Linked DNA regions of Oryctolagus cuniculus. The protein of the gene in region 2 binds, or shares a complex with, the protein of the main gene of each other region. Links are inferred from orthologs where the notes say so. Each region holds a gene or a part of one and is shown on either strand. Other genes may lie near its edges.

Region 1 (10,346 bases), on a different chromosome or scaffold from region 2:
ATGCTGTGGCACAGACACAGTTATCCTTGTGGCCACTCCATGGCACAGACACGGCTGTCCTAGTGGACACGCCGAGTGGTTGACAGTGACGAAGATTCCATTCTTCGCTACAGAATGTGAAAGCAGGCAGTGCACTGTTTCCCCCTCAGTGTCCACTTGCAGCAACTGATGAAGCTGGAGGTGGCGGAGGGGCGCTGCTTATTGATTTACTGCCTCTTGGCGCCAGACTTCACGGTTTACCAGTTCTGTAAAATCCACCTAAGACCTTTAACAATTTTTGCTTGCCAGCACACTGCTCTCTCAGCAGAGGGCACTGGAGAGGCATGCAGGAGAAGGGTTTTTGGGCCAGGCAGGCCTGGGCAGGTGGCACCTGGCTGGACACTTCCACTACAGCTGAAGGGTTCCCAGCGAGCTCTGTCTACACAGCACCACAGCAGCTTCCCTGCCGCCCCCTGAGCCACGGCTGTGGCGGCTCCCGTGCGGCCCGGGCCTTAGCCTTGGAGGCTGTCTTTGGGTGCTCCCTCTGGGCCTGGGCAGGAATGCACCTTATTTCTGCTATTGCTATAATCTCCTGTTTCCTTTGCTTCTCACTAACCAGTCCCTTATTACTCTAAGTCCTTGTTACAGTTAATAATTAAAACAATCATTTACACATTTATTGTTTGATTCATCAGGGCAGAGGGACAGACATGGAGAGAGTCAGATGGACAGAGACAGAGTCAGAGATCCCCCACCCACTGGTTCACTCCTCAAATGCCGGTCAACAGCCAGGGCCGGGCCAGGCCAAAGCCAGGAGCTGGGGCTCAGGCTGGTCTCCCATGTGGGCGGCAGGGACCCAGGTAATTGAGCATTGCCTGCGCCTCCCAGGTTGTGCTGCAGCAGGAAGCTGGATTAGAAGCAGAAGTTCTGGGGCTGGCGCTGTGGTGCAGTGGGTCAAAGCCCTGGCCTGAAGCGCCGGCATCCCATATGGGCGCAGGTTCGAGACCCGGCTACTCCACTTCCAATCCAGATCTCTGCTGTGGCCTGGGAAAGCAGTGGAAGATGACCCAAGTGCTTGGGCCCCTGCACCCACGTGGGAGACCTGGAAGAAGCTTCCGGCTCCTGGCTTCAAGAATGGCTCAGCTCTAGCCGTTGTGGCCAATTGCGGAGTGGCCAATTGGGGAGATGGAAGATCTCTCTCTCTCTCTTTGTAACTCTTTCAAATAAATTAATTAATTAAAAAAAAAAAAAAAGAAGACGACGAAGCTTGAACCTAGGCACTGTGTTGGGGATGCAGGCATCCCAAGCGGCCTCTTAATGGCTGTGCCAAATGCCCACTCCAGGGATTCTTCGTAGCAAACTCTCCCCATTCTCACTACTGCACAGGCTCGCTCTCCTGCGTGAGGACACTAACATTAGAGCCTCTTTCAAATCTGCCAGTAAAATGGAGACTGCTTAATACTGTCACACAAGCATAAATACAATTCATAGATGTGCCTGAGGGGCGGGGAACGTCACAGCTACACACGGCCCGCTAATCACCTGGCCTGGCCCTGCCACGGCAGCTGCAGGTGGGACTCAGAATTCATCAAATCTCCAACAGGCCAGTCTTCAAACTGGTGATTTTGTATGGCCCACAAATGATGTTTGTTTTTTTTTTTTTTAAGATTTTTTTTTTATTTGAAAGACAGTTACAGAGAGAGGTAGGGAATGAGATAGGTCTTCCATCTGCTGGTTCACTCCCCAAATGGCCACAATGGCTAGAGCTGAGCCAATCCAAAGCCAGGAGCCAGCAGCCTCCTCCAGGTCTCCCACGTGGGTGCAGGGGCCCAAGAACTTGGACCATCCTCTATTGCTTTCCCAGGCCACAGCAGGGAGCTGGATCGGAAGTGGAGCAGCTGGGACTTGAACCGGCGCCCACGTGGGATGCCGACGCTGCAGGCGGCAGCTCTGCCTGCTGCACCACAGTGCCGGCCCCAACAGTACTTTCTTTTACCTTCACAACAGCTTTACATTCCACCAGCTTTAGAGTACTGGGGCAACTCGAGAGATGGTCATGAAGGAAAAAGGACTGCGTGCCAGCAGCATGCACGCTGAGCAGTGACTAGCCCCTGAGGTGAGGGAAGGGCCTGGGGCCCAGCAGGGTGAGAGCTGGGCTGCAGAGGGTCTCTCACGCTTCCTTCAGTCTCTGTGATTCTGCGAGCTGGAAGCACGGTCAGCGGAGTGGGCTCAGCTCCAGGAGCCACTACGCTAACGCGTGCCCAAAGCTGCGATCTAATGTAGAACAGGCATGTGTGCCAGGGCTGGGCAGAGCCTCCTGACACCATCATCCACTCGCCCCTTGGCCCCAAGACATCTGTGAAGCCCGGGGTTTCACGCAAGGATAAGGGGAGAGGCCGCTTCAAGGGTTCGTGCTGAGGTGCCGGGGTGTGTAGTGATCTGGGATGCCTGCATTCCACATCAGAGTGCCTGGGTTTGAGCCCTACCTCCACCTTCCATTCAGTTTTATGCTAATGCAACTGGGAGTGCAGACAACTGCCCAAGTAGTTGGGTTCCTGCCACCCAGGGGAGATCCAGGTGGAGCTCCTGGCTCTGGCTTGCCAGCCCTGGCTGTTGTGGGTGTTTGGGGAGTGAACCAGCAGATGGTTGACTCTTTGCCTATCACCTTGCCTTTCAAATAAATAAATCAATCTTTTTAAAAAAATGTACATATTAGAGTAATAAGCTGATAAAGCACTCAAATGTTGACCTAAATAGAAAAAAATTTGACAAATTATATTGTTGCAGGAAAAACACACAGATACTAAGAGGTTTGTTGATATGTCTCATAAAAATGTGAAATATGAAAACTCTTATTTCAGCATTGAGGAAGAAAACTTATCTGAAAAATACAAATTATAGAAAAATTTTATTTTCAAACCTATACCAAGTTTAGATTGCAAAAAAAGAAAAAAAAAGTCCCGACAGAAATCCTGGAGGAACTACTTGATTAGAGAAAAGTGTCCTGTTATGCTGTTATGGGCTGCACTGTTATGACACAATTAGGCTCAGGAGCTAGCCCCTCCCTCAGCAATCAGGAACAGCACACCAACCGCTGGGCCGCGGAACCCCCCCCCCCATCCCGCCCCTTTAGAGTCACAAACTGCCCTTTCTACTTTTTAAGCTACTTCCCGCCTTTTAACAACTTGTTTTTTAAAAAAAAATTATTTATTTATTTTAAAGTCAGAGTTACACAGAGAGAGAAGAGGCAGAGAGAGAGAGACAGAGACAGAGAGAGAGACAGAGGGGTCTTCCAATTCACTGGTTCACTCCCCAGTTGGCCACAATGGCTGGAGCTGCGCTGATCCAAAGCCAGGAGCTTCTTCCGGGTCTCCCACGCAGGTGCAGGGGCCCAAGAACTTGCACCATCTTCCACTGCTTTCCCAGGCCACAGCAGAGAGCTGGATGGGAAGTGGAGCAGCCGGGACTCGAACCGGCACCATATGGGATGCTGGCACTGCAGGCGGCGGCTTTACCCGCTACGCCACAGCACCGGCCCCTTTGAACAACTGTAATACTCACAGTGTGTAGGCTGTATGTACTGCATGCCCCATGTCCAGGCACCAATTTCAAAAAGCAAATGTTTCCTAAGACTGTCATAAAGTACATCCTGCTAACTGCCATCATTTTGATTGATTTGTTTTCTAAATTTTTATTTGTTTTCATTTTATTTAAAGGCAGAGAGAGAGAGAGAGAGAGATCAGTTGATCGACTTTCCATCTCTGGCTTACTCCTCCGATGGTGGCAACAGCAGGGCTGGGCCAGGCTGAAGCCAGCAGCCATGAACCCCATCTGTGTCTGCCACGTGGGGGCAGGGGCCCAAGTGCTTGCGCCCTCACTGCTGCCTCCCAGGGCGCATCAGCCGGGAGCCGGGTGGGAACGAGAGGAGCCGGGGCTTGACCCAGGCTCTCCAAGCAGCAGCTTAGCCACTACGCCACAATGCCTACCCTGATTTCTTACAATATTACACCTAGAGTTTACCTCTCCCAAGACTTGAGCAGAATCAGGTCTAGTAACGGGTTCATACGTGTAGGGCACTGACTTACAATCTGCCCTATCGGGGAAGCAACTAGCAGTTTACCAGATCACCCTCACGACAGCCTCCGTCCTCAGAGCGGCGGATGCACAGGCGACGCGCTCTTGCCCAGACAGCGACGCTGAGGCCCTCAAATCTGCAGTGGCGGCTTTACTAGACGCGCTCTCGCAGCCTCCTGCGAGTCAAAAAGCCCGATGGGAAAACTCAGCAGTTCTCTGGACAGCCAGAGACAGTCCAAGTGTGAAGGTTTCTGATGGTCTTGCTTAATCCAAAGACAAAACTTAGACAATCAAAGAATCCTCCATAAATACCAAGTTCCAGTGGAAACACACACAAGCAAGCAGCCAGCATCGAGTTACGCAGTCTCTGGAAAACCCAAGGGCAGCAAGAACTGTAACTTACTAGGCACTGGGCTGTGCAGATCATTGAGATCCATGATCTCAGTCACTCCTCAAAGCAACCTTGTTGGAATGGACACCACCTGAGCCTTCAAGGCCACATGTGCTCACACAGTGACTGAACTGTCAGTCAAATGTCACTCACCGCATCCGCCATACTGCACAGCACCCCCAAAGAGTGCATGCTCTTGGGGCCGGGGCTGTGGCACCAGCATCCCATATGGCTGCTCCGCCTTCAATCCAGCTCCCTAGTGGCTTGGAAGAGCAGAAGATGGCCCAAGTGCTTGGACCCTGTACCTGCGTGGGAGACCGGGAAGGAGCTCCTGGCTCCTGGCTTTGCATTGGCCCAGCTCCAGTTGTTGCAGCCATTTGGGGAGTGAACCAGCGGATGGAAGACCTCTCTGTCTCTCCCTCTGTAACTCTGCTTCTCAAATAAACAAATACATATTTTAAAAAGCCTTTAAATTTCTTTTACATTTTACTTTTATTTATTTGAAAGGGAGGGAGGGAGGGAGGGAGTAGGATGGGGGGAGACAGACAGATACAAGAGCGCTCCTACCTGCTGGCTCCCTCCCCGAATGCCTGTAAGGGCCAGGGCTGGGCTGGAGCTGGGCATCTAACACTCATTCCAGGTCTCTCACATGAGTGGCAGGAACCCAACGACCTGAGCCGTCATCTGCTCCTCGAAGGGTGTGCGTCAGCAGCAAGACAGAAGCGGGGCAGAGCTGGGGCTCGAGTCCAGACACTCGGATGGAACGAGTACATCTCAGCTGGTGGCTTAAGCGCCCTCCCGCCGGCCGCCCTCCCGCCTCTCCAGTCCACGGCTGGAAGGTCTGCAGGTTCTTCCTCACGCCCACGGCCCCACACAGGGAGGCTGGGAGGTCTGCAAGGTCTTCCCTCACCCACGGCCCCACACAGGGAGGCTGGGAGGTCTGCAGGGTCTTCCCTCACCCACGGCCCCACACAGGGAGGCTGGGAGGTCTGCAGGGTCTCCCTCACACCCACGGCCCCACACAGGGAGGCTGGGAGGTCTGCAGGGTCTCCCTCACACCCACGGCCCCACACAGGGAGGCTGGGAGGTCTGCAGGGTCTCCCTCACACCCACGGCCCCACACAGGGAGGCTGGGAGGTCTGCAGGGTCTTCCCTCACACCCACGGCCCCACACAGGGAGGCTGGGAGGTCTGCAGGGTCTCCCTCACACCCACGGCCCCACACAGGGAGGCTGGGAGGTCTGCAGGGTCTCCCTCACACCCACGGCCCCACACAGGGAGGCTGGGAGGTCTGCAGGGTCTCCCTCACACCCACGGCCCCACACAGGGAGGCTGGGAGGTCTGCAGGGTCTCCCTCACACCCACGGCCCCACACAGGGATCTGGGAGGTCTGCAGGGTCTTCCCTCACCCACGGCCCCACACAGGGAGGCTGGGAGAGGGCTCCAGATGCACTCAGTGAAGCTTCTTCCCGCAGGAAGATGAGGATGCGTTCTGGGGCTAATGGCGACTCTGGGCCGGGGCACCGGCCCGCTTCTGCAGACGTCCCCAATACAGGGTGACTCTTCTGAAACAAAGCGATGCGTATACACACACATCTGAGCTTGTGTGTTAGGTGACCGAATGATACATAAGCTTGGACTCCACGGAGCATGACCAGAAGCACTTGGGTAGGGCTTCTCAAAGGAGAAGGCGGCACCAACTGCCTACGCAGCCGCAGAAGGACCTCCATTCCTGCAGGACGACGGCGCGGCACAGCTACACAGCGGCCCTTCCAGGTGGACCTGCTACAAAGCACTGCATTCTACCCAACCTAAGACGCCTCAGACAGACGACGCACAGTGCTTCTGTGCATCACTAAGAAAGAAATGCTGCCGATCACGCCCTGCTATACGCATCCCACTGGATGTAAGGCAAACAGCAATTCTGGAGATGTAAAACGTGCGAAATGTGTTTCAGGCCACAGCAGAGAGCTGGACTGGAAGAGGAGCAGCCTAGATTAGAATCCGGCACCCATATGGGATGCCAGCACCGCAGGTGGAGGATTAACCAAGTGAGCCATGGCACCGGCCCCTGAAATAATTATTTTTATAAAATTTAATATTCAGGGCTGGCGCTATGGTGTCATGGGCTAATCTTCCCCCTGCAGCACCGGCATCCTATATGGGCACCAGTGGAGTCCGGCTGCTCCTCTTCCAATCCAGCTCTCTGCTATGGCCTGGGAAAGCAGTGGAGGATGGCCCAAGTCCTTGGGCCCCTGCACCCACGTGGGAGACCTGGAAGAAGCTTCAAGCATTGAAGTCTCAGAATTCTGCCACCACCAGTTTCCTTTCATCACCTCAAAAGTTTTCTCCCGATTGTCCTCACCCTTCTGGATGAAATGAGTCATTATTTGTTCTAAAAGAAAAAATGTTTTTAAAAATTATAATTGTTTTAAACCTACAAATTAATTTTTAAAAGATTTATCTATTTATTTACTTGAAAGAGTGACAGAGAGGAAGAGAAACAGAGAAAGATCTTCCATCTGCTGGTTCGCTCCCCACATGCACCCAACAGCCAGGGCTGGACCAGGCTAGAGGCAGGAGCCAGGAGCTCCATCTGGGTCTCCCACGTGGGTGCAGGGGCCTGAGGACTTGAGCCATCTTCTGCTTTCCCAGGCCACAGCAGGGAGCTGGATCAGAAGTAGAGCAGCCGGGTCTCGAACAGCACCCATGTGGGATACCAGTACTTCAGGCCAGGGTGTTCACCCATTGCGCTACAGTGCTGCCCCCCCCCCCCCCTTTAAGATTTATTCATTTATTTTGAAAGTCAGAGTTACAGAGAGAGAGAGAGAATCTTCCATTTGCTGGTTTACTCCCCAGATGGCCACAATGGCCAGCTCAGGGCCAAGCTGAAGTCAGGAGCCAGGAGTTTTATCTGCGTTTCCCATGTGGGTGCACAGGTCCCAATACATGGGCCATCTTCCATTGCTTCCCAGGCCATTATCAGGGAGACGGATTGGAACTGGAGCAGCAGGAACACCCCACGTGGGGCAGCAGAGTCCCAGGCAGCAGCTTTACCCGCGACATCACAGCGCCAGGCCCCAGCAGGCACAATTCTAAGACCCCTCCAAGAGTCCAAGTCCACAGTCAACATACCCTCTCCCGCATATTCAATCAAACAAATTCAGGTACTGTTTTGAAGGTATTTTAAAATATGTAACTCAAATCCCAAGTCAGATACACCATCCAGGTAGGCTTGGTGACCTTAAATCTCAGCTTAGAGGTCGGAGAGAGATGGTCTCGAAAGCTGAAGCCTAAGAAAGCGTGGGCACACAGCTGCTGGTTTGGAGACGACGAGCAGGAAGCACGGAGCGCAGCTGCGTCAAGGCGCTGAGAGCCGCTCCACCGGCAGCCGGCCAAGAGCTGGGGTCTGCAAACAAGCTGGGAAGCTGATTCTTCCACAGAGCCTGCTCACACCTTGACCCCGGCTGTTCAGCGTCACAGACAGACACCCAGTCACCCCACGCCAGCCTCCGGCCTGCAGACTGTGGACTAACATTATCTGCTTTTTGAATCTCCAAGGTTGTGGTGACCCGTCATACAGCAAATGGAAAACCCACACATCTGTCTTATTCAGTTGGCCTGGACCTAGAGGGTAATATTTAAGTAGATAAATATTGTTGTTAGGAGGAGTCTTAGCAATCGTAGTAGTCAAGAATTAGAAACCACAGCAGTCATCTGAACACAGATTTGTTAGCCAGCAAAGGTGGTTATTTTTTTATTTTTTTAATTTGAGAGGTGTGGAGAGAGAGAGAGACAGAGAGACAGACACACAGTCGTAGAGTGACCCGTCCTCCACAGTACAACATGCAGGACTGGGCTGAAGCACAGAGGGGGCCTCAGCCCAGGTGTCCCACGTGCATGGCGGGGTCCGAACCACTTGAGCCACTACCACTGCTTCTGCGGGTCATGCTAGCAGGCACTCAGGTACCAGACACGGGCGTCTTGAACAGCAGGCTGGACCTCGCCGCTGTGCCTTCACTGACTTGTTTTTAAAGACTGACTCATGTATTTGAAAGGCAGAGTTACAGAGAGTGAGAGTGTCACAGAGCTCCCCTGCGTCACCTGTGGACGCACAGAGACAGGGAGGAGTCGCCTGTGCCTGTGCCTGTGCCTGACGAGCCCTCCGGCGAAGCCAGCTGCTCACGAGAGAGACGCTCACAGTGCCTGACTCCCCCCTCTGCTGGTTCACTTGCCAAAATGCCTGTAACTGCCGGGGCTGGGCCAGGCCAAAGCCAGGAGCCAGGAACTCAATCTGGGTCTCTCACGTGGGTGGCAGGGGCCCAAGGGGTGGGGCCCTCCCTGGCTGCCTCAGAGGGTGCAGTAGAGGGAAGCTGGAATTGGAGGAGGAGCCAGCAGTCCAATCTGGGGGCAGAATTCCCAGGCAGCAGTGCCAAACGCCTCCCCCAGCTTTAATTTGCATCAGCTGATTCAAAACGAAGTCTATTTCTGTGAGGGCTGGATTTCAGAATCATCTTTAGGTTCACCATGTGTCTAGGGCAAAAAGTCGTGTTTCTTCCTCTTGGGGAGGGGCGTTCCCACCGGGGTCATTGCCCCTTTGTTACCCCTGAACTCTCCAACTCCGCTGAGAGCCCCACTCTCTCTGCTCAGCCCTCGGCACAGCGCCTGGGCTGCAACGCCCCGGCTGGCTCCCGTGCACCAGCGCTGATCCCATCTCTTCAGCCTCCCTTCTCTCCAGGAACTGGGCCCCTCAAAATCCTTAAAGCCCTGCTGGCATCCAACGTCTTCAAATGTTGCCTTTTTTTTTTTTTTAATCATCTTCCTAAAATTTTTAGTTCTTGGTGACAGCGTTGGTCAGCAGTCTGGCTTGGCCAGAAGCAGGAGTCCAAAAATACTAAATTTGACTGGATGACTTTCCAGATAGCAACTGGGGTAATCTCAGGAATCCTCTTTCTCCGTCTACTACAGTGTTGGACGTTAACAGCATGAACTCACTGGGTCTAGACTCTATCGCTTTAATATGCTGCTGCACTCGTCTCCAGCTCTCTTTAGAAATAAACTTCATAAATATCAGTACCAATGAGTCACACTTTCTGACAAATCATCCAAGACGCTCACATTATCTGACAAAAACCTAAAGCTGGCTTTCTTCCTGTCACTTTCATGTTTTTGGTTTCATAATTGTGCTAGCTTCATAAAAAATTGTATAGCTATCCCTCTTGTTTAAGTTCTAAGGCAATTTACACAATATAAAAGGTATAAACATTTGAAAAGGAGAAGTTATTTGCAGGTAAATTTTATATAACCAAGATGTCTTCTTATTATGCTCAGGCTTTCTGGGTTCTCAAAGGAACCTGCGACTCCTTCAAAGACACCGTCCTAACACAAAGTCGGGGCCAATAAATGTTGGCTTCCTTTAACCTAACAAGTTGGGCTTTCTGCTTTGTACTGTATCATAATAAATATCTACTGTCTCTGAGACAAGGAACTGCTTTTCATTACCCCTGATTTTAAAATTAGACACTAGGGGCCGGCATCGTGGCACAGTGGGGTACGCCACCTCCCGCTCGCATACTGGAGCCCTGGGCCCAGTCGTGGCTGCTCTGCTTCCAATCCATCTCCTTGCTAGAAAGCAGCAGAAGATGGCCCAAGTGCTTGGGCCCCTGGCTTTGGCCATGCCAGGCCCAGATCTTTTGGCTATTTGGGGAGTGAATTGGTGAATTGGTGGATGAAAGATCAATCTCTCTGAAACTATGCTTTCAAAAAAAAAAAAAAAAATCTGTTCAGAAATAAAATTAGGGGCCAGCACTGTGGCGTAGAAGGTTAAGCCTCGGCCTGCAGTGTTGGCACCAGTTTCAGTCCTGGCTGCTCCACTTCTAGTCCAGCTCCCTGCTAATGCTACT
Region 2 (10,184 bases):
GCTGGTACAGCGCCAGCGATCTCCGTCCCGCCGGGGCCCCGCCCCGAGCCTCCAGCTGCCCTCCTCCTCCTCCTCCTGCTCCTCGCGCAGAGAGCGCCAGTTCTCACTGTCCGAGCGAGCGTGCTCCTTCCTCGGGCCGGCCCCGCCCTCCTCAAACCCGGATCGCGCTGAGCACGGGAAGAGACGGTCTTCAGAGGGCAGCCGGGCCAGCAGACTCCTGCCAGTGCTCCTCCTGCGGCGGAGGAGCCACAGCGGCCACGCCCCTACTGCGCCCCCACTCCACCCCGGGTCGCCCGGCCAGGTCCTCGCCTTTTCCTACCTCCATCCCTCCTTGCTGACTTCTCAAACCGCCTCTCACCTCTGCAGGAGAAAAGGGGCTGTTCAGAAAAAGGACAGTGTCCCTTCCCACACTGCAGACAGCTGTGCACCTCGTCCACTCTGCCCCGAGAAAGGTGGAGAGGGGACGGGGGGGCGGGGACAGGGCACACAGGATGGAAGGTCACAGGGAGAAAGGAAAGACAGTGGGGGGTGGCACTGTGGGGCAGCAGGTAAAGCACTGGCCCGCAGCACCGGCATCCCATACGGGTGCCAGTTTAAGTCCTGGCTACTCCACTTCCAATCCAGCTCCCTGCTAATGCACCTGGGAAAGCAGCAGAGGATGGCCCAAGCACTTGGGCCCCTGCACATGCACATGCATGCACGTACATACACACACACACACACACACACACACACACCCATAGCAGACCCCGAAGAAGGTCCTGGTTCCAGATTGGCTCAGCTCCAGCCATTGCGGCCATTTGCGGAGTGAACCAGCAGATGGAAGACTAATCTCTCTCTACCTCTCTCTGTAACTGTCTTTCAAATAATTAAAGTAAATCTTAAAAAAAAAAAAAAAATCAGGATAAGGGGCGGGGCAGGGCCCAGAGGTCTCTGACCAGGGCTCCCTGGCAGGGCTGCCCGTACCTTCCCAGCGGCCCCCACCTGTCATCCCAGCTCTGGCTGCGCTGGATCTCCCGGGGGTTCCGTCCAAAGGCTCCCTCCCCTTCTTCGATGCTTCTTTGGTAAAAGCAGCTGTCACCTCGGCCACGGCCTAGGGAAGAGGGGACACACCTGGGTGTGAACCCTGCCAGGACACGCCTGCGAGTGCTCGGGCTCCAGCCATGCCCACCCCCCACCAAGCAGTCACCCCTGTACCTCGGCTCCGCGAGCTGCCCCGGCCACGGGAGGTGCTGGCCAGCTGGGGGCCAGCCCCTTTCCCCATCAGCCTCAGCACAGCCACGCTGTTCACTGACAGGGAGAAGTTTCTCTGAGGAGGGAGCCAGGGCGGGAATGAGGACCCAGGCGCCCCGCCGCCCCGCCTGTCCTCCCACACCCCCACCGCAGCCCCGCCCACCTGCTCCTCCTCCGTCAGGGGCTCCAGGGCCAGCGGCTGCAGCGGCTCCTCCTGCAGCACCGCAGCGAACTCCTTGTCCTGCAGCTCCTCAGGGACCTGCCGGATGGGGCTGGTGGGTCACGGCGCCAGCTGCCCCTGGCCACGAGCAGTGGAGCCACAGCAACCCCCCCAGCCCCCACCTTGTTCTCCAGCTGCCCCAGGCCACGAGCAGTGGAGCCACAGCAACGCCCCCCAGCCCCCACCTTGTTCTCCAGCTGCCCCCGGCCATGAGCAGTGGAGCCACAGCAACCCCCCCAGCCCCCACCTTGTTCTCCAGCTGCCCCCGGCCATGAGCAGTGGAGCCACAGCAACCCCCCCAGCCCCCACCTTGTTCTCCAGCTGCCCCCGGCCATGAGCAGTGGAGCCACAGCAACCCCCCCAGCCCCCACCTTGTTCTCCAGCTGCCCCCGGCCATGAGCAGTGGAGCCACAGCAACCCCCCCAGCCCTCACCTTGTTCTCCAGCTGCCCCAGGCCACGAGCAGTGGAGCCACAGCAACCCCCCCCCAGCCCCCACCTTGTTCTCCAGCTGCCCCAGGCCACGAGCAGTGGAGCCACAGCAACCCCCCAGCCCCCACCTTGTTCTCCAGCTGCCCCAGGCCACGAGCAGTGGAGCCACAGCAACGCCCCCCAGCCCCCACCTTGTTCTCCTTGACATAGAGGGCCAGCATCTCCTCACGCCCGTAGCGGTAGTCAGCCAGCTTGTACTTGGGCATGGCAGGGGAGGCGGGCGGGGAGGCCACACTGCCGCCGCTGGAAAGGGCCCTGAGCCTGGAACAGGTGGGGGGGGGGCAGAGGAGGACGAGGCTGGGGCGCCGTGCTCTCCTCCTGGCCCCCCCACGCCCGCCACCGCACACTTGACCCACCACTCGGGCCCGAAGTTGAGCGTCTCCGCCGCCATGCTGAGGCTGGGCGTGGCTCCTGGAGGTCAGGGGTGAGTGACGAGCAAGGACCCGGGCTTCACGCTCCAAACACCTGTGGAGCACAGAGAAGGCCGGACCCTGGGGACAGCGGAGAAACCTGCATCGTGGGCGACCGGCCCCGCGGGCACAGGGACAGGCTTCGGGCTGGGCTGGGTCACCCAGCTTCTGAAAGGACTCACCTACACCAGCCACGTGGCTGCACACACCATGAGTTAACCCGAGAAGAGTTCAGGTGGGCAAGACCTGGGGGCTGGAGGCCTTTGGTGGTCACAGCCGTGCTGCCTGGGCCCAGCCTCCCCCGGCGGCCTTGCCCCTGGGCAGCGGGAGGGCAGGGCTGGGCTCTCTCCGGAAAGGGCCGGCACTGGAGTGAACTCGGGTCCTCAAGCCACTGGCTATCTATCTGGCCTCAGCAGTGTCCGGGAGGGACCCTCACATCTGGGAAGAGTCCTTGAGGAGAGAGGCAGGTGCTGAGAGGGACGGGGGCCCACAGCCTCCCTGCCCCCGCCCTCCTCTACCCTGCATAAACCGGAGGCCCACACTGCCCAGCACACGCGCAGGCCCCTGGGTGCCCAGTGTGCACCAGCTCCTCTGCACTCCCAGTGGGAGGTCCAGACAGGGCAGGGCACAGAGTTTAGGAACAGACGTAACCAAGATCAAGGTGGACATCAGGGCAAAGATAAGAACAAGCAAACGAAAACCCCACTGGAGCCACAAATATCCCAGGGAGAGGAGGCCAGTGGTGGAATTTGGGAGCAAAATGACTTGTCTCTTGAAAGGAATCCGGATGGGCTGCCTGGAGGCTGGAGTTGACGGACGCTGTCAGAAAGGAGGCTGCCCAGGACCAACGCAGGGGCACTCGCTGCAGGCTGCTGGCCTGGCCCAGTGCATGGCGGGCCGGATCACCAAGCAGGCAGGCAGACAGACCCAGGCCCCCGGCCCCACGTCAGGGTCAGTCGACCAAAAAAGCCGAGGGGGCACAGTTCTTAGAGCAATAGCGACAAGGGATTCCTCACCATAAACCAGAGAGAAGGTCACGGTCAGAGGCTGACGGGAGGCAGTGACCGGCTCCTCTAAAGGACAGGGGAGACCCCCAGGAGGAGGTGCATCCCTGGTGGACCGAGCACAGGACTCTGGGGGCAGTGGGGAGGCGTCGGGGCAGGCGCAGGGGCTTCCGTCACTGGCTGGGAGGGAGGCTGGAGCTGCCTGTCTCTGCCTGCACCATGCACTCCAGGACGCCACAGCCTGGGGAGGAAGAGAAGTGGGTTCCCTCTGGAGGGGCCCGGGAAGAGACGCTGGCCCCTGGAGTGGCGGCCCCCGGGGCAGGGGAACGTCTCCCTTCAGGGCACACAGCACACAAAGCCAGCAGAGAGGCCAAGTACCCCACGGCCTCCTGCGCGGTGCAGTGGAGGCCGGGACGCTGAGACCCTCCAGGCACGAGGGGGCAGCCACAGCAGGCCTGCTCGTGGGCAAGGCTCCCAGGCAAGGCAGGCACACAGAGGCACAGCACACGGTGGGTGCGGGGGGCAGGAAGCGCTGGGGACAATGGCGGTGCTGGCTGCACCGAAGCTGCAGAGAGCTTGCCTAACCGTGGCTCACGGGCCCGCGCTGTGCTGCTGTAGACTAAACTGCTAAACTGCCACCTGTGACACCAGCACCCCACACTGGAGCGCCAGTTCGAGTCCCGGCAGCTCCACTTCCCATGCAGCCCCCTGCTATGGCCTGGGAAAGCAGCGGAAGATGGTCCAAGTGCCTGAGCCCCTGCATGCGCGTGGGAGACCAGGAGTTGCGAGCTGGCCTTGGGCCTGACCCAGCCCCGGACGGACGGGGCAGCTACCTGGGAGTGAACCAGTGGATGGAGGATCTCTGTGGCTTTTTCAAGTAAACGAATAAACAAATCTTTAAAACAAACGCAGCTCAAGTTACACGTATTTCACCACCAGAGAGAAAGCTTTCAGGGGAAAAGTACTGAGACCCGAGGCTTCTCCACTCCAGGAAAAACCAGCCCCATCCCTCACACAAGCTCAGCCTTAGAGGGCCAGACACGGGTCTCAGGGGCCGGGCCAGGCTGCCAGGCAGAAGCCGAGAGAGCAGAAAAAGGGGTGACTCACCCTCCCGCCTGCCAGGGAGCGGTGCAGACAGGGCTCCTCGGTGGCCCGTGTCCTGTCCTCTCTGTCCCGCTGGAAGTGGAGGGGAGTGGCTCAGACTGGGGCAAACGCCCAACCCACCCACGCCTTGGGGGAGACCCGGGGACAGAGAGGGCAAGGCAGGAAAGGGGCCGCCCCCTCCTCACACTAACAGGACTAGGGGAGCAGGGTACTTCTGGGGGGGGGCTGCCTCTGCTCCCCAGGGGACTGCCACTCAGGGCGGTGGCACCTGAGCAGAGGGGAACAGACGGGCAGGGGACCAGGGTGCACGGAGCAGCCCCTGACAAAGGCGTTTCTGGCCCCAATGTGGGCAGTGACTGTAAGGGGGGCAAAGAAGCCCTGTGGGTTCGCAGCCCTAATGGAAGAGAAAGCAGATGTGACCCTCCCCCCATCTTCCCTCTGCACAGCTGTCCCGAGAGGAATCTGAAATCCTGCCAGGAGGCAAACCTTCGAAGGTCCCAAGTTTGCTTATCACAAACTCTGCGGCCCAAGCAGCTGGATCCCTTACCACCAAAGCAGAGGGGAGAGGTGGCAGGTGGGGGTGGGCAGGACCACGTCCGTCTCTCTCCTGCAGGCTGCTCAAAGCCCACCTTGGCCTGCCACACTCCTCCTGGCCCTGCACTTGGCCTATGTCCGAGCTGTGTGCCCCCTCCCTGGTCCTCTCTCTCCTGCCTCAGTGTACCTTTGCTCCCCTAGCTCCTCACTGCTGCCCCCTACTGGAGAGGTGAGAGGACGCACCCTGGTCCCAGGCGCTCCCCCCAGGCTGCATGGACCTGGAGCGCTGGGCTAGGCTAAGAACAGCGTCTGGTGACTCCCTCCAGCAGCCTCCGGCCTCGGCACAGCCCCACACCTGCCTGGAGGTGACCTGGTCCTGCCTAGGGATGCAGATTCTCCACGAGGGGTGGGGTGAGGGTTCCTCCCGGCCGAGCCATCCCGCCCAACAGCAACAGCCCTTGGCAATCGTGGGCCTGTTAACTTCTGAGCCACTGTCACACTTGACCTCATCTGATCCCTTCTGCCCACTTGCTCAGCCAGGGACAACAAGGGAGGGCACGGGGGCTGGGACCAGGTACCCAGCATCTGAGGCTGGGGCAGGTGTGCACCGGGCCAGGGGCCGTCCCAAACTCCCCCGCTGGCCCCCCGCTCGGAGAGCTTGAGCCATGCTTACATTTCTTGCTAGACTTTTCAAAGCCCTCCCACAGCCTTCCTCTTCTCCCCGCGCTCTCTCCTTCAGAGTGGGGCTACTTTTCCTTTTCCCAAACTCCATCCCGACGTACACCAGGGCCCCTGAGCACCGTGTCACACGCGGCACCAACGCGTGTGTGGCCAGCAGCCCAGGCACACACCCCCGCACCTGATTATCACCGCCCCAGCGGACCCCCGAGGTCCCCGGGGGCTCCAGGCAGCTCTGCCCTGAACTCTCCCCAAGTGGGGGGACCAGGACCCACAGAACCCGGGCAGCTGGGGTGGAGGGGGCAGGAGTCATGGCCCAAACTCCCACAGGTCGGCAGCAAAGGGGGGGTGGGGGCCGGCGCCGCGGCCAGCTGTCAGCCGGGAGGGGCAGTGGCGCTGACCGGTGCTCGGGAAAGCCGCGCTTGGAGAAGCAAGAGCGGAGCGAGACTGGGGTGACTGGAGGGAGGATCCGGCCAGCAAGTATTTATTCGGCCGCGCCCGCACCGGGATGCCGCTGACCTGGACGCTGGTGGCAACTCCAGGGACGACCAGGGGCGAGGGTCTCCCTAAAGTTACGCGAGGAAAAGGCAAAGTGTGAGCGCCCGGGGCGCTGCTGCACCGTCGGGGCACCGCGGGGGCACGGGCGGCGGGGGAGCCTTCCAGGTCGGCCCGAGTCGTGGAGCGCCCGCCCTGGACGCCCCGCGGGGCCCGGGGCGCGCGGGCCCGGGGCAGGGGCCCCGCGGGCGGGAGGGGCCCGGGCAGGGCTCCGCAGGGGCGACCGTTAGCAGCGCGCGGGTGGGCGGCGCGGGCCGGGCCGGGAGGACGGCGTGCCCTTCAGGGAGGGGCGCCGGCCGCCCCCCCACCCCGAGCCCGCGCCGAGGCGGGCCCGCTCCGGGGGAGGGTCCCGCGGCGGGGAGGGGCGGAGGGCGGACGCACCGGGCGGCGGAGGCGGCGGCGGCCTCCGGGAGGAGACGGGGAGAGTCCGTGCCGGCGGCCCGCGCGCTGGCTCCGGCTCCCGCTGGCTCGGCGCGGCCGCCGCGGCGTCGGGGGCGGGCCTGCCCCGGGGCCGGCTGCGGGCCGGGGTCCGCGGAGCCGCCGAGCGCTTACCGCGGCCGGCGGGCGGCGCGAGGGCTCGGTCCTGGGGCGTTGGCGGCGCGCGGCGGGCGGCGAGCGGCGGGCGGCGGCGCGCGGCGGGCCGGGGGGCGGCGGCGGCGGCGGCGGCGGCGGCGGCGGCGGGGGAGGGGGCGCTGGCGCTCCCGCGGCGGCCGCTCCTCTCTGTTTGTGTTTGTAGCAAGATGGCTGCCCGCCTCGCACCACGTGACGCGGACGCGGGGCCGCCCCCTCCGCCGCCGCCGCCGCCCGCCGCCGCCCGCCGCGGCCGGGGCCCGCTCGGACCCGCACCCCCGGGCCTCTGGCTTTCCCCGCGTGCCCGCCGGGGCGCAGCCCGGACGCCCGCCGCCCCCGAGTCTAGCCTCACACCGCCACCCCCGGCACGTGACCCGGGTGCCCGGCTCGTCACGTGACGCGGGGCCCCCGGCTGCAGGCCGGGGAAGGGGTGTCCCCGGGGTGCTGCCTGCGCGCGCCCCCGCGGCACGTGACCCGCGCCCCTGGGGATGGCAGCTGCGGCCTGTGAGGGGCATCCCGGGTTTCTTCTGGCCGGCCGGCTTCCTCCAAGCAGCCCTCCTGGATTGGAGGAGGAGACAAAGTGCAACACTGTTCTGATGAACTCGTGGGATATAGGAAATGAGCAAAACCCCTGCCGATCTAGAAACGGCCCGAGGCCCCGCTGGCTGGTGACACCTGGAGTTTCTGACCGCTGTCGTCGCCTCTTACAGTTCCGTTGCCTTAAAAAAAAATTATATATATATATATATATATACATATATTTATTTATTTGAAAGGCAGAGTTAGAGTCTTCCATCTGCTGTTTCACTCCCCCAGATGGCCACGGGAGCCAGGATTGTGCCAGACTGAAGCCAAGAGCTTCCTCTGGGTCCCCCACGTGGGTGCAGGGGCCCAAGCACTTGGGCCATCTTCCTCTGCTTTCGCAGGTGCATTAGCAGGGAGCTGGATCAGAAGTGGCGCAGCCGATACCGTAGGTGTCTGTGGGATGATGGTGCTGCAGGCTGCAGCTTAACCCGTTATGCCACAGCCACTCCCTGAATGGCCACAGCAGCCAAGGGGGCTGGACAGGCTGGAGCCAGCAGCCGGGAACTCCATCTGGGTCTCCCACCCCCGAGTACTTGGGCCGCCACCTGCTGCCTTCCCAGGTGCATTGGCAGGGAGCTGGATCAGAGGTGGGGGGCTAGCAGGGACTCAAACCCGCGCTCCGATGTGGCCGCAGCGCCCACCCCTGGACAGCAAAGATTTTTAAGGCATATTTTAGGCATCCTGAAGATTGTTCATTAACCGGGCTTGTTGTTAATGATGACACAGGATGGGCCTTCACGTTAACTGCGTGCGTGCAGAATTGCTCCCTGCCACAAGCTGGGTTCTTTGGTGGAGCAAATAGACCCCCTTGGCAAGTCAGCACTGGCCCCCGGCTTGCTAAGTGCACCTGCCCATCATCATGAATTTATCACCCACGGGCAGCCCGTGTCGCAGCCGCTCGCTGCTCGCTCCAGGAGCCAGATCTCCCAGGGTTTCCTCCTGCCACTCAGGCTGTGCTGGTCTCCGCCTGCCCTCCCGGGGTTCAGGGCTTCAACACGCGCCCCCTCCCCGTTCCAGGACGTGGGCTCCGCGGTCAGACATTCTCGGCTGAGTCCTCGCTACCTCTGGAAACCCTAGGCTGTTCCTCCCACCCCCGCAAGGGGGCGGCGTGTTCGCGGAATCCCGTGCATGCCCCTGCATCTAGGCGCAGGTCCTGCTGTCCTGCTTAGCGGCCCTAGGGGCTGGCTCTGTGGGCTAGAACGCGGCTCGCGACACTGGCATTGCGTGTCGGAGCCCTGGTTCGAGTCCCACCTGCTCTGCTTCCGATCCAACTCCCTGCTAATGCATCCGGGAAAGAAAGCATCGGAAGAGGGGTATTCTTGGGGAAATCAGTTGTTAGGTACTTGCCATGCACATGGGAGACCCCTGGCTCCTGGCCTTGTGGCCATCTGGGGGAGTAACCAGTGGATGGGAGACCACTCTCTCTCTGTCTCTCCCTTTCCCTCTGTGTCTTTGCCTGTCAAATAATTAATAATAATAAAACTAAAATAAAAGCTGACATAACCAGTGTTCACAACAGGCATCCCTAACCCAGCCCGCATTGCTGTCCAGTATTCCGTGGTGTGGACATTCCGTGGTTTACCAATTCCTGCACGGAAAGACCTCTGCCTTGTTTCCAGCCTGGAGCTATTGCAAAGAAAACTGTGGATGGCCACCACTGTGCAGGTTTTTAAATGTCCGGGGGTGCTTTTTCCCGAGTCATATGGTGTCTGTCTCATTTTAGAAGAAACTGCAGGGGTCAGTGTGTGGCCTAGTAGGCTAAGCCTTCACCTGCAATGCCAGCATCCCACATAGGTGGCCAGTTCGAGCCCCGGCTGCTCCACTTCTGATCCAGCTCTCTGCTATGGCCTGGGAAAGCAGTAGAAGATGGCCCAAGTCCTTGGGCCCCTGCTCCCGCGTGGGAGACCCAGAAGAAGCTCCTGGCTTTGGATTGGCCCAACTCCGGTTGTTGTGGCCATTTGGGGAGTGAACCAGCAGATGGAAGACCTCACGCTCTCTGTGTCTCTCCCTGTCCGTGTCTGTAGCTCTGCCTCTAAAATAAATAAATAAATCTTAAACAAAGAAGAACTTGCCAAGCCGTTTTCCGGAATACCTGCTCCATGGTTCAGGTCCACAAGCCCTGTGTGCAAGCGCCAGGCTGCCTGCCTGCTTCCCACACTCGAGTTGTGGATACTTTGTATCTTAGCCACTCTGGGGAGGCGGTGGTGCTGCTTCCTCCTGGTCTTCGTGCACAGTTCCTTAAAGGCTGATGCAGTTGTACAGCTTTTAATTTTAATGTGTATCTATTTTCATCTACTTGAAAGGCAGAGTGATCGAGGGAGGGGGAGAGGAGAAAGAGAGAGAGAGAGCGCGAGGAAGTGCTATCTTCCACCTGCTAGTTCATTCCCTAAGTCGCTACAACAGCTAGCAAGGGGCCAGGCTGAAGCTAAGAGCCTGGAGTTCCCTCTGGAACTCCCACGTGGGTGGCAGGGACTGAAGCAGTTGTGCCGGTCCTCTGCTGCCTTCCCAGGATGCATTAGCAGGAAGCTGGATCAGAGGCTGGGTGGCTGGAACTGGAACCTGCTCTCTGATACGGGAACACATTTGACTTCATGCGGCCACACGCCTGCCCCGGAACTGACATCTTGAGATGCGCTTGTTTTAGCCCCATCGTTACCCACCCCCCCTTCTCCTGATGTATCTACTCAAGGCTTCTGACCTGGGGCCATCCCTGTAGCGTAGCTGGTAAAGACTCCGCCTGCAGTGCCAGCATCCCTATTCAACGCCAGATGGAGACCCAGCTGCTCCACTTCCCATCCAGC
Region 3 (9,546 bases), on a different chromosome or scaffold from region 2:
CAGCCAGAGCCAGCACTCAATACGAGATGTGAGCATCCCAAGGGGTGACTTAACCCACTGCACCACAACGCCTGCCCCACAAACTTTTAATTCCATTTTTCCACGAACTTTCTGAAGTACTCTTTTGTAAGCCATTACAAAAAGTGGCTCAACAGACCCTTTAAGGAACCTTTCATAGGAACTATTTTAGTAATCAAAATGAATTGACACCAGATTCCAAACAAATCATTTATTACTGCATTTGCTCCAAGTTTACCGAGGGTCACTGTGTACCAAGCACACACACAGGAAGCCCCGATCTCTACACAGATGCTGTGCAGCAAGGGCAACACACAAGAAAGTTTCTGATACACAGCACGACGATCGTAGCTGTTGACAGAGGCCAAGTGCGCTCTGGAGGACTAGGACAGCTGGCGCCACCAGGAAACAGGCCAGCTGAGCCAGGGAGGCAGGGGACGGGGCAGTGGGCACTGGAGAGCACCCCTGTGCACCGTGACGGGAGGCAGGGAGAGGCCAACGGCAGGCTCTCTGCCCTTGGAGGTGACGATGATATCTAACTTGGGTAAGGTCCTGGGAGCAGTGGACCGCGCACGACTGCAGTGGGCCTGAGGGCGGTGGGCGCTGCCTTCTGCAACAACGCCCTGGCATCAGAAAAGATGCCTCCCACCGGAGCGCAGCCCACAGGTGCTCTACGGAGGTCACCGAGCTCAGCTCCAGGACTCCAGGGTCACACGTATACTATGTAAAAATACTACACACAAACAAGTGAGTTTAATGGGACTAAGGGTAACACAGTGTTAATAACACCATTTTAGAGCGGCAACAATCGTTACAAACCTCCCTGTACCAACCCACAGATAAGCAGTGGCGCCTGCGCAGGCTCCCAGGATCCAGCTAACTGTAACGCAGCTTTGGGAAAAGACCTGAAGATACTTCTAACTGTGGTAGGGGGAAAACAAAGGAAAAATAAACTTGCTCAGAAAAGCAGGGCGAGGCCCGCAGTCCTCACCTCCCACATGGGTTTAATTCCTTCTTTGAAGAGATGGAAGTCACTGTGGCCCGTCAGGTCCCCGGGTCGCACCATGTGGCTGTAAAACCTCCAGAACTGCTCCACCTGCAGAGAGAGGACCCCAGAGAACAAAAGATGTATCTTTTCTTTCTCTGACTGTATTCAAGGCTGCAGGTTTACTGCACAACAGGACCATGAAGACACTTTGCCTCTGATTCTTTTCAAAGGATACACTTTCATTTAGGGCCTGTGTAGAAAGGAAGGCACATTAGAGGAAAAGCTAGCAGATAGTTGCATTTGTAAAAACCAAAACATTGGCAACAGAAAAACTAACTCCTTGGGTGAGAAACGGGGCCTCAGTGGTCTGCATTCTTCCACTGCAGCTGCAGGAGACGCCTCACACTGGCAAGGGGGCCAGTTTAAGGCACAGTGGACACCCCTGAAGCAGTCAGGCCTCAGCCTGAATGCGTCTTTTCAGAACCAAATCACTGTTTGATCAAAGATTTAAAAAAAAAATTATGTATTTGAAAGGCAGACAGAGAGAGATTTCTTTCGAAAGTCCTACCTGAAATCAAATAAATGCTTATAGTCCAATAAAGAGATCAGAAACTATCTCAACTACTATTTTTCATTTTATCACTGAAAAGGCGGCTTCAGGCCTTGATCCGGCCCACGGAACCCAGCATCAGAGTAGATGAGAGCCTGTAACCCCTCCTAGTCCTCTGCTGTTTCAGGATACTGCTTGCTTAGTCATGCTGGCTTCAAGAATGTCAAAATGTTGTCAAAGATTAGAACCAAGGACCACTGGGAAATACTACTTTGTATCTGACAACACATTTCACAATGTAATTACTTCTCTGCGGGCAATTGAATATAATGAGCCATTTCCTAAAGCGCTTAATAACACGACAGCAGATCCAAGCACTCGGTCACACTTCCAGTGAGTCCTGAAGAAGTGTTCACCCAGGAAGGCGTGCCTGATCAATCTCCCAGTTTAACATATGAGCTTAAAGGAAAGACCATAACACCCTCCATGTACAAATTGGGTAAATTCATGTTTTTTTTTTTTTTTTTTTTTTTTTTGACAGAGTGGACAGTGAGAGAGAAACAGAGAGAAAGGTCTTCCTTTGCCGTTGGTTCACCCTCCAATGGCTGCCGCGGCCAGCGCACCGCGCTGATCCAAAGGCAGGAGCCAGGTACTTATCCTGGTCTCCCATGGGGTGCAGGGCCCAAGCACTTGGGCCATCCTCCACTGCACTCCCTGGCCACAGCAGAGAGCTGGCCTGGAAGAGGGGCAACCGGGACAGAATCTGGCGCCCCAACCGGGACTAGAACCCGGTGTGCCGGCGCCGCAAGGCGGAGGATTAGCCTAGTGAGCCGCGGCACCGGCCCTGGGTTTTTTTTTTTTTTTTTACAAGAGAGAAATGAGAATGTTGGACATATTTATATTTATTCTAAAATAATTTAACAGGGTTCTTAATGAAAATGTACTTCTCAGTCCAGTCTCGTCTCTGATTCCTCAAGCGGTTAACAGTCACTCAGAACACAATGAATGAATGTCATTTTCGTGTTCTATCATTCCCACAGAACAGGAAATCAAAATTTGTTTCTTTTTTATTTTTAGTTCACTGTTGTTCAGGCAATTAAAACTTCTGTAATGCATTCCGGAATGTTAGAAGTGTGTATTTCCAAAGTTAGAATTTTCTTCTCGTCACCTGTTCAGATTCTTTAAATTCAATCTCAAACCCACCTCCTCCAAGGCGGCTCCAGTTTTAAAAATGCTGGTGACATGCCGACTACATTTATTTTCCACTGATCGAACATCAGATGTCCATATTTAACTGGTAATCAGATCACCTGCTTAGTGTGAGACCCACAGCACTACAAGACCAACTTGGCAGAATTTCAGCCCAAGGCGGGGATCTCATTTGGTTGGCCTGAACAGCCTTCTCATTAATAAATGCAGGCTTTCTCTGAAATATCACAAACAGCTCGTGCATGGTGCCTGTTTTGTATTCTGGTGCATGGTAAGGGCTTTGGAAGCTGACAACCAAGCCTGGCTCCCTAACTAGCCCAAGCGAATTACGGCTGATCTGAGACTTTAGACATGGAGGCCCCGCCTCAGGTTCCTCATTTGTAAAACTGACCTCATGGGGCAGCAAAATGAAGAAAACCACACAGGTGAAACGCCTGTGGCTGCTACCCTCTCTTCACCAGTTCACTGCAATGGTTACTGCCTATGGCAGTGCTCTCCTTCAAGATAAATGCCTCAGTCATTTCCAGAAAGCGACAAATCCTGCACTTGACTCTGCCCAGAGAGGGAGTGCACGGCACACAGCAGCACATACGGACCCTGGCCGAACACGCCTGGTGTCAGCTGCGGTCAGCTTCCTGGGACACACAAGTCTTGTCACCCAGGAGGGGGATGAGACGAAGCCTGGGCCTTCTGTGCCCATGGCACCCACAGAAGCAGTGACCGGAGGTTTCATTTTCTTTTTAAAACAAAGGAAAAGTTGTGGCCAAAACCCTAATGAGAGGTTCTTAAATACAAAGGAAACTTGAAACTTTGCTTCTGACTTTACCATGCAACTCTACGAAGATGGACACCACGTGTAACGACCACAGGACACTCTGCATGTCCTAAGGACTCAATAAATACGTACTTAAAAGACAGAAAGATAAAACTGTACTTTTCTGTTATGCCTTTCTGATCAATACCACCTACTAACTCTGGATGTCAAATACGACATCTCAGAGGGAACACATCTGCCGCTGGGGGCTCGGTCAGCGAGTTAGAAAGCAGCACCTTACACGGGTCACCAAGAGGGCGAGCACCCAGCGCGACGGGCACGGCCGAGCGGACGCCGAGGCCCGCCCTGGCCCACTAGGTACTCACAGAGGCGAAGGTGCCGATCTGTTTGATGTTCTGTTCGTAGCTCTGGGAGCTGGTGGGGCGGCCCGGGGTCCTCCTGGAGTACCAGAACGTGTAGTTGTATTGCAGGGGGTGCTCTGCCGGTCCAGGGACAACAGCCTGGGGAGCAGAGGTCTGTCAGCCCTGGTCTGCCACATGCTCCGAGTCAGAGACTTCACAGCACACCCTCACCGCTTCCACAGCGGAGAGGACAAAACACCAAGCACGAGCACACGCCCAGGCGCCTGCTTACACAGTGAGCTCCCACTCTCCGCCCCGCACTGCTGGGGTGGCTTCTGTGACTTTCTACCTCATCTCACAGCTATCTGTTTGCATCTTATCTTTTTGTTTGTTTTTGACAGGCAGAGTGCACAGTGAGAGAGAGAGAGAGACAAAGAAAGGTCTTCCTTTGCCGTTGGTTCACCCTCCAATGGCTGCCGCGGCCAGCGCGCTGCGGCCGGCGCATCTCGCTGATCCGAAGCCAGGAGCCAGGTGCTTCTCCTGGTCTCCCATGGGGTGCAGGGCACAAGCACTTGGGCCATCCTCCACTGCACTCCCTGGCCACAGCAGAGAGCTGGCCTGGAAGAGGGGCAACCGGGAGAGAATCCGGCGCCCTGACCGGGACTAGAACCCGGTGTGCTGGCGCCGCAAGGCAGAGGATTAGCCTGTTGAGCCGCGGCGCCGGCCTTGCATCTTATCTTAACCTATGTCCAGTCTAGCACTGCTTCTTCTATGACGCTCTTTATCACTTATTAGTGGCAAGATGCTTTACCTGTTAGTACCTCACCTGTTGCTTTTTTTTCAGATTTATTTATTTGAAAGACAGAGAGAATGAGGGAGGGAGGAAGGGGGAGGGGGGAGAGGGAGGGGGGGAGAGAGAGAGAGAGAGAGAGAGATAGGATCTTCCACCCACTGATTCACTCCCAAATGGCTACAACAGCCAGGACTGAGCCAGGCTGAAGCCAGAAGCCAGCAGTTTCTTCCATGTCTCCCAGGTGGGTGCAGGGTCCCAGGCACTGGGGCCATCCTCTGCTGCTTTCCCAGGCGCTTTAGCAGGGAGCTGGGTCGACAGTGGGGCTGGGAGGTACTGGAGCACCGGTGCTGCAGGCAGGGGCTTTAAGACGCCAAGCCACAGCGTTGACCCCTGTATCTCAGCTTCTTACTTGCAAAATGAGGAAAACCGCCACCACTCCACAGGGCTGCTGGCAGGACATCAGAGGCCTAGCTAGAGCCTAGCACTGAGGAGGAGCTCAGTTAAGTGTCAGCCACTATTAGAAATGCTCATATCGAATCTTAATGAAGAATGGGATGGGAGAGGGAGTACGAGATGGGATGGTTTGCGGGTGAGAGGGTGGTTATGCGGGGGAAGAACCGCTGCTAGAATCCAAAAGTTATACTTTCAGAATTTGTATTTACTAAATAAAAGTTTTCTATTAAAAAAATTTTTTTGAAATAAAAAAAAAGCAAGCAAGCAATGCTCATATCAAACGTGAGCCCTGGGGCGGGTGTTTATCCTGGCAGTTCAGATGATTACAGCCCACGCCCAAGTGCCTGGGTTGAGACGCAGCTCCTGACTACAGGTTCCTGCTAACAGGGACCCTGGGAAGCAGCAGTGAAGGCCCAAGGGACTGGGCTCCTGCCACCCAGTTAGGAGCCCTGGCCCGAGTTCCTAGCTGCTGGCACCACTCCAGTTGTTCTAGGCACTTGAGGAGTGAATTAGTTTGCCTCTCTCTTCCTAAAAAACAAAACAAAACAAAAAGCAAAAGTAAATAAATGAACGCAAGTTCTGGGGCCACTGCTGTGGCATAGCAGGTAAGGCCGCTGCCTGCCGCGCCGGTATCCCATACGGATGCTGATTCAAGTCCTGGCTGCTCCTCTTCCAATCCAGCTCCCTGCTAATGTGCTTGGGAAAGTAGTAGAGGATGGCCCAAGTGTTTGGGTCCCTGAGCCCACGTGGGAGACCTGGAAGAAGCTCCCGCATTGCGGCCATTTGGGGAGGGAACCAGCAGATGGAAGATCTCTCTTTCTCTGACTCTCCCTCTTTCTGTAACTCTGTCTTTAAAATAAATAATAAAAATAAATCTTTTTTTAAAAACAAGCGGTGCAGCACTGTGGCACGGGGGGTAAAGCTGCTGCCTGCAGCTCCAGCATCTCACACGGGTAGCGGTGTGAGTCCTGGCTACTCCACTGTTGATCCAGCTACTGCACTGTTGGCCTGAAAACGTGGTGGAGGGTGGCCCAAGTGTTTAGGCCCCTGTACCCACATGGGAGACCTGGAGGAAGCTCCTGGCTCCTGGCTCCTGGCTCCAGCCTAGCTCAGGCCCGGCTGCTGTCACTATTTGGGGAGTGAACCAGTGGACGGAAGACCTCTCTTCTCCCACCTGTGGGGAGCAACTGGGAGCAACTCGGACTAGACTAAGTTACTCGAATTAAGACTTATTCTATGCATCTGCTCTCCCACAATATGGCGCTGGGAGAGGAGGAACCAGCTTCTACACAGCTGCCTCTCACCAACTTGACAAGCTGCAGGACCTGCTCCTGATTGGAGGAGAGCAGTGTACTCGGCGTGTGGGTAGCAGAGTTGGGATTGGTGGAAGAGGACTATAAAGGAGGAGAGAGACAACATGCACCAGGAACATCTAAGGGGGACACCTGTGCAGCCCCCGAGAGAGCCGGCCAGCGGTGTACCGCTCCCCCGCGGAAGTGGGGAATGTGGCAGGGGGAACCGCCCTTCCACGGAGGTGGAAGGGTCAGTAGCCAACCCGGGAAGAACCAGCAGCCAACCCGGGAAGGACCAGCAGCCAACCTGGGAAGAACCAGCAGCAAACCCGGGGAGGGCCGAGCAGACGAAAGAACAGCGCAGGGTCCTGTGTCGTTCCTCCATGAAGAGGGGGAGCAACATAATGGTGCCGTGACTCGGATATGAAGCCTAGGCAGGGCTTAGTGTCGTTCCTCCACGAAGAGGGGGAGCGACACGCACCCCTTCTACCCCCATCTCTCTGCGACTTTGCCTTTCAAATAAACACATCTTATTAAAAAGAAATGAAAGTTCCTTGACCCACAGTCTAATTCACGTTTGTGTCTTCTCAGCACCTAGCATAAAATGCTACCCCTCGGAGGGAACTCAATAATGCAGAATAAATGAATTAGTGACTATTTTTTATTTCAAGGAAAAAAAACGGATCCATCTGTCATTCTCTGCATTTTCTCTTTTGCAAGTGAAATGTCAACATAGACCATCACTGACTGCAGGGGTCAAACTTTCACGGGCTGTGCAGGACCATGAAGCAGCCACCGGCCTTGTTAACTCCCAGGCCAGGAGAAGGCGACACCTAAGATCCTATGTCAACCAAGAAATCCTAACCCCAAAATGAGCCCCCAGGCCTCTACAATCCTTTCATGAGAACAAAAGCAGGTATCCCAACACAGGGTGCTGTTAAGTTCACCTGCCCCTCCCAGACGCAGCCTGCAGCACGCAGGAAGCCGCGTCTGGCGGCGTCACCCACCTTCCTCTTGCTGCCGCCCTGGCTCTTCTCGCGCTCGGCTTTTTCCTTCTCACCATCTTTCTGTGTGCTGTTTTCTTCATTTTGATCGTGGTCCCCGCTGTCATCGTCTTTCAGGCTGAAGGGAAAGCAAACACCGCCGTTCACAACTAGGCTGACTCTTGCTTCCCTACCAAGCCAGCTACCGCAGCCACGCTGAACTCACTCAGGGTACAGCCCCGAGAGCCCTGCGAGGTGAGAGGGACAAGGGAGTGCGCAGGCAAACCAGGAAGGTGGAACAAGAATGAGCTGTGACCCCCAGGAAGCGCGCTCTGCGTTCTAACAAGCCACAAAGAGCGCTTAAAGGGAGTAACGGAAACAGTTCTAGGGGTTGCTTTCTGCACCAGGAATGAGCAGAATTTCTGACTAGACCACTGCTTTGGCATTTCAGATGGAAGCTGGAAACTTACCCACAGACTGCCCCTTTTCCCCATCCCTCCGCACTGCCATGCGCAGGTTCAGGCCTCTTCTCTGTGAATGCCCTCACCCCAGTCTTCGCTCCCTCTACCCTCTGTGTCGTCACCATCACCAGCATGGTCCTTCTGAGTGCACATCTGGCTAACCTCTGTCCTTACCTCTGTTTCAGCTGCCTCTCACCCCTGATGCCTGCCCTTCAGGACAGAGGTAAAGAAACGCAAGTGCGGCTGGCTGACACTCCCAGCCCTGCAGCCTGCACGCCCACACGGTGCGTCCGCACACGCCCCCTCAGCCTGGAGGCCAGTGCGCTCGCTCCACTAGATGGAGGGTTCCGCGCAGCAGTGTCTCACTTCATCTCAGGATGACCAACACGTAAGGGCCAGAAGATGCGGCCCTAACACACAGCCAAGAAGATGCCGAGTGAGCGTCAGAGTAAAGGGAAAAATAAATGCCTGAAACAACAAATTCGAGTGTTCTCGCTTCACAGCACGGAGTCTGACCTGTTGTAAGGGCCACCTCTCAGGAGTGGTGAAACCAAGACTTTCAGGTACACCTAAAGTGCACCAGATCCAGAGAAAATAAAAGGAAGGTGCGGCCACAGAGCAGGGAGAATGTCGTTTATTGCCGAGCTGGGCCTCTAACTCATCATGGGTCCTATTCCAAATCCTCTTTTGGACGCATGATTATATACACAGACAAATGGGATTAGGCAATTCTCAAGAAAGAGACCAGAAATGCCCAATTATAACTTAGGTACATGCTACACAGATACAGAAACATGCTGTGGAATATTTTCTATTTGCGGCTCGGTTTTTGCCCATGAATCTCAAGCACCTAGCACCCATGAAGCACCCATTCCACATCATCAGAGCACCTGGGTCCAAGCCCCGCCCCCCCGCCGTTCCGAGCCACATTCCCGCTAACGTGCACCTAGCAAGGCAGCAGGTGACGCCGCAAGTACTTGGGTCCCTGCCCCCCACATGGGAGACCTGATGGGAGTTCTAGGCTTCTGGTTCAGCCTATGCCAGGTCTGGCTGCTTCTGGCATTTGGGGGAGTGAACCAGCAGACAGACGATCCTCCTGCCTGCCCCCATGCTGCTCTAAATGAATGAAAATTTAGGAAAATATTAGAATGGATGAGACAGACATGTGTTTGGGCACCCGCTCTGCCCATTTTAGTCTTTGCTGTGGACACACGCAGGTGTCCACGCCCCATTTCCACCTCGGCCGAGACGCGGCCAGGAAGGTTACCAGACTAAAGGGCATTCCAGCCTGGCCAATAACCTATGTCAGGGCCTTGCTAGAAAGAACATGAGTAGATCCCTCGCTCAGCATTTCATCTGCAAGGAGAGATGACAGATTCAGGAGCTGCAGCAGCCAGATGGACCCCATTCAGGCAGAGCCATGAGGGACTCAGACAAGGAGCAAAAGCAGAGAAAGCCAGCAGGACGCACCAAGGAAGGGTGAGGGGAGTTTGACTGTGCGGCTATTGCTACCGTCGCTCCGGCCCAGGTCAGCCTCACTGCACTGCTGGGAGACCATTATCTGCACTCACATACACCCTCTCCCTTTAGTAAACTTAGGAGTTGGTTCGGTTTCCTCTTCAAAAGAGAGTCCGCCCACAGAGAGCTACACAGAGTAAAAACGACCACTACGTACCAAGCATC

The links.
Region 1: the proteins of GIGYF1 (region 2) and TNRC6C are in contact, whole or in part, in a crystal structure (PDB 7RUQ), measured with the Homo sapiens proteins. The link is inferred for Oryctolagus cuniculus from reciprocal best matches to the Homo sapiens genes GIGYF1 and TNRC6C. Residues at the interface, in NP_001362694.1 of Homo sapiens: Tyr479, Asp481, Pro482, Gln487, Phe490, Trp498, Tyr503, Phe504, Leu508; in NP_001136112.2 of Homo sapiens: Arg1719, Pro1720, Pro1721, Pro1722, Gly1723, Leu1724, Thr1725.
Region 3: the proteins of GIGYF1 (region 2) and EIF4E2 are in contact, whole or in part, in a crystal structure (PDB 5NVK), measured with the Homo sapiens proteins. The link is inferred for Oryctolagus cuniculus from reciprocal best matches to the Homo sapiens genes GIGYF1 and EIF4E2. Residues at the interface, in NP_001362694.1 of Homo sapiens: Leu36, Ala37, Asp38, Tyr39, Arg40, Tyr41, Gly42, Arg43, Met46, Leu47, Leu49, Tyr50, Glu53, Asn54, Lys55, Val56, Pro57, Glu59, Leu60, Glu64, Phe65, Ala67, Val68, Leu69, Gln70, Asp71, Glu72, Pro73, Leu74, Gln75; in NP_004837.1 of Homo sapiens: His54, Pro55, Leu56, Gln57, Tyr64, Lys83, Gln84, Ile85, Gly86, Val91, Glu92, Trp95, Arg96, Phe97, Tyr98, Ser99, His100, Met101, Val102, Arg103, Leu107, Phe113, Ile137, Arg138, Leu139, Arg140, Gly142, Leu143, Ser145, Arg146.

What each region holds. Positions count from the first base shown.
Region 1 is NC_091448.1:3,392,430-3,402,775, forward strand, and holds the start of TNRC6C (trinucleotide repeat-containing gene 6C protein), read right to left. Parts: upstream 5,330-10,346; 5' UTR 5,080-5,329; coding exon 5,012-5,079; intron 1-5,011. UniProt on the Homo sapiens protein: Plays a role in RNA-mediated gene silencing by micro-RNAs (miRNAs). Required for miRNA-dependent translational repression of complementary mRNAs by argonaute family proteins.
Region 2 is NC_091450.1:42,863,705-42,873,888, forward strand, and holds the start of GIGYF1 (GRB10-interacting GYF protein 1), read right to left. Parts: upstream 6,804-10,184; 5' UTR 6,781-6,803; intron 6,765-6,780; exon of another isoform or gene 6,610-6,764; intron 6,240-6,609; 5' UTR 6,193-6,239; exon of another isoform or gene 6,075-6,192; intron 6,053-6,074; exon of another isoform or gene 4,534-6,052; 5' UTR 4,465-4,533; intron 3,599-4,464; 5' UTR 3,370-3,598; intron 2,804-3,369; 5' UTR 2,536-2,803; intron 2,435-2,535; exon of another isoform or gene 2,409-2,434; 5' UTR 2,335-2,408; coding exon 2,300-2,334; intron 2,205-2,299; coding exon 2,075-2,204; intron 1,493-2,074; coding exon 1,397-1,492; intron 1,310-1,396; coding exon 1,198-1,309; intron 1,094-1,197; coding exon 985-1,093; intron 361-984; coding exon 320-360; intron 170-319; coding exon of another isoform or gene 168-169; coding exon 1-167. UniProt on the Homo sapiens protein: May act cooperatively with GRB10 to regulate tyrosine kinase receptor signaling. May increase IGF1 receptor phosphorylation under IGF1 stimulation as well as phosphorylation of IRS1 and SHC1.
Region 3 is NC_091434.1:6,901,721-6,911,266, forward strand, and holds part of EIF4E2 (eukaryotic translation initiation factor 4E type 2), read right to left. Parts: intron 7,542-9,546; coding exon 7,427-7,541; intron 4,041-7,426; coding exon 3,906-4,040; intron 1,115-3,905; coding exon 1,010-1,114; intron 1-1,009. UniProt on the Homo sapiens protein: Recognizes and binds the 7-methylguanosine-containing mRNA cap during an early step in the initiation. Acts as a repressor of translation initiation.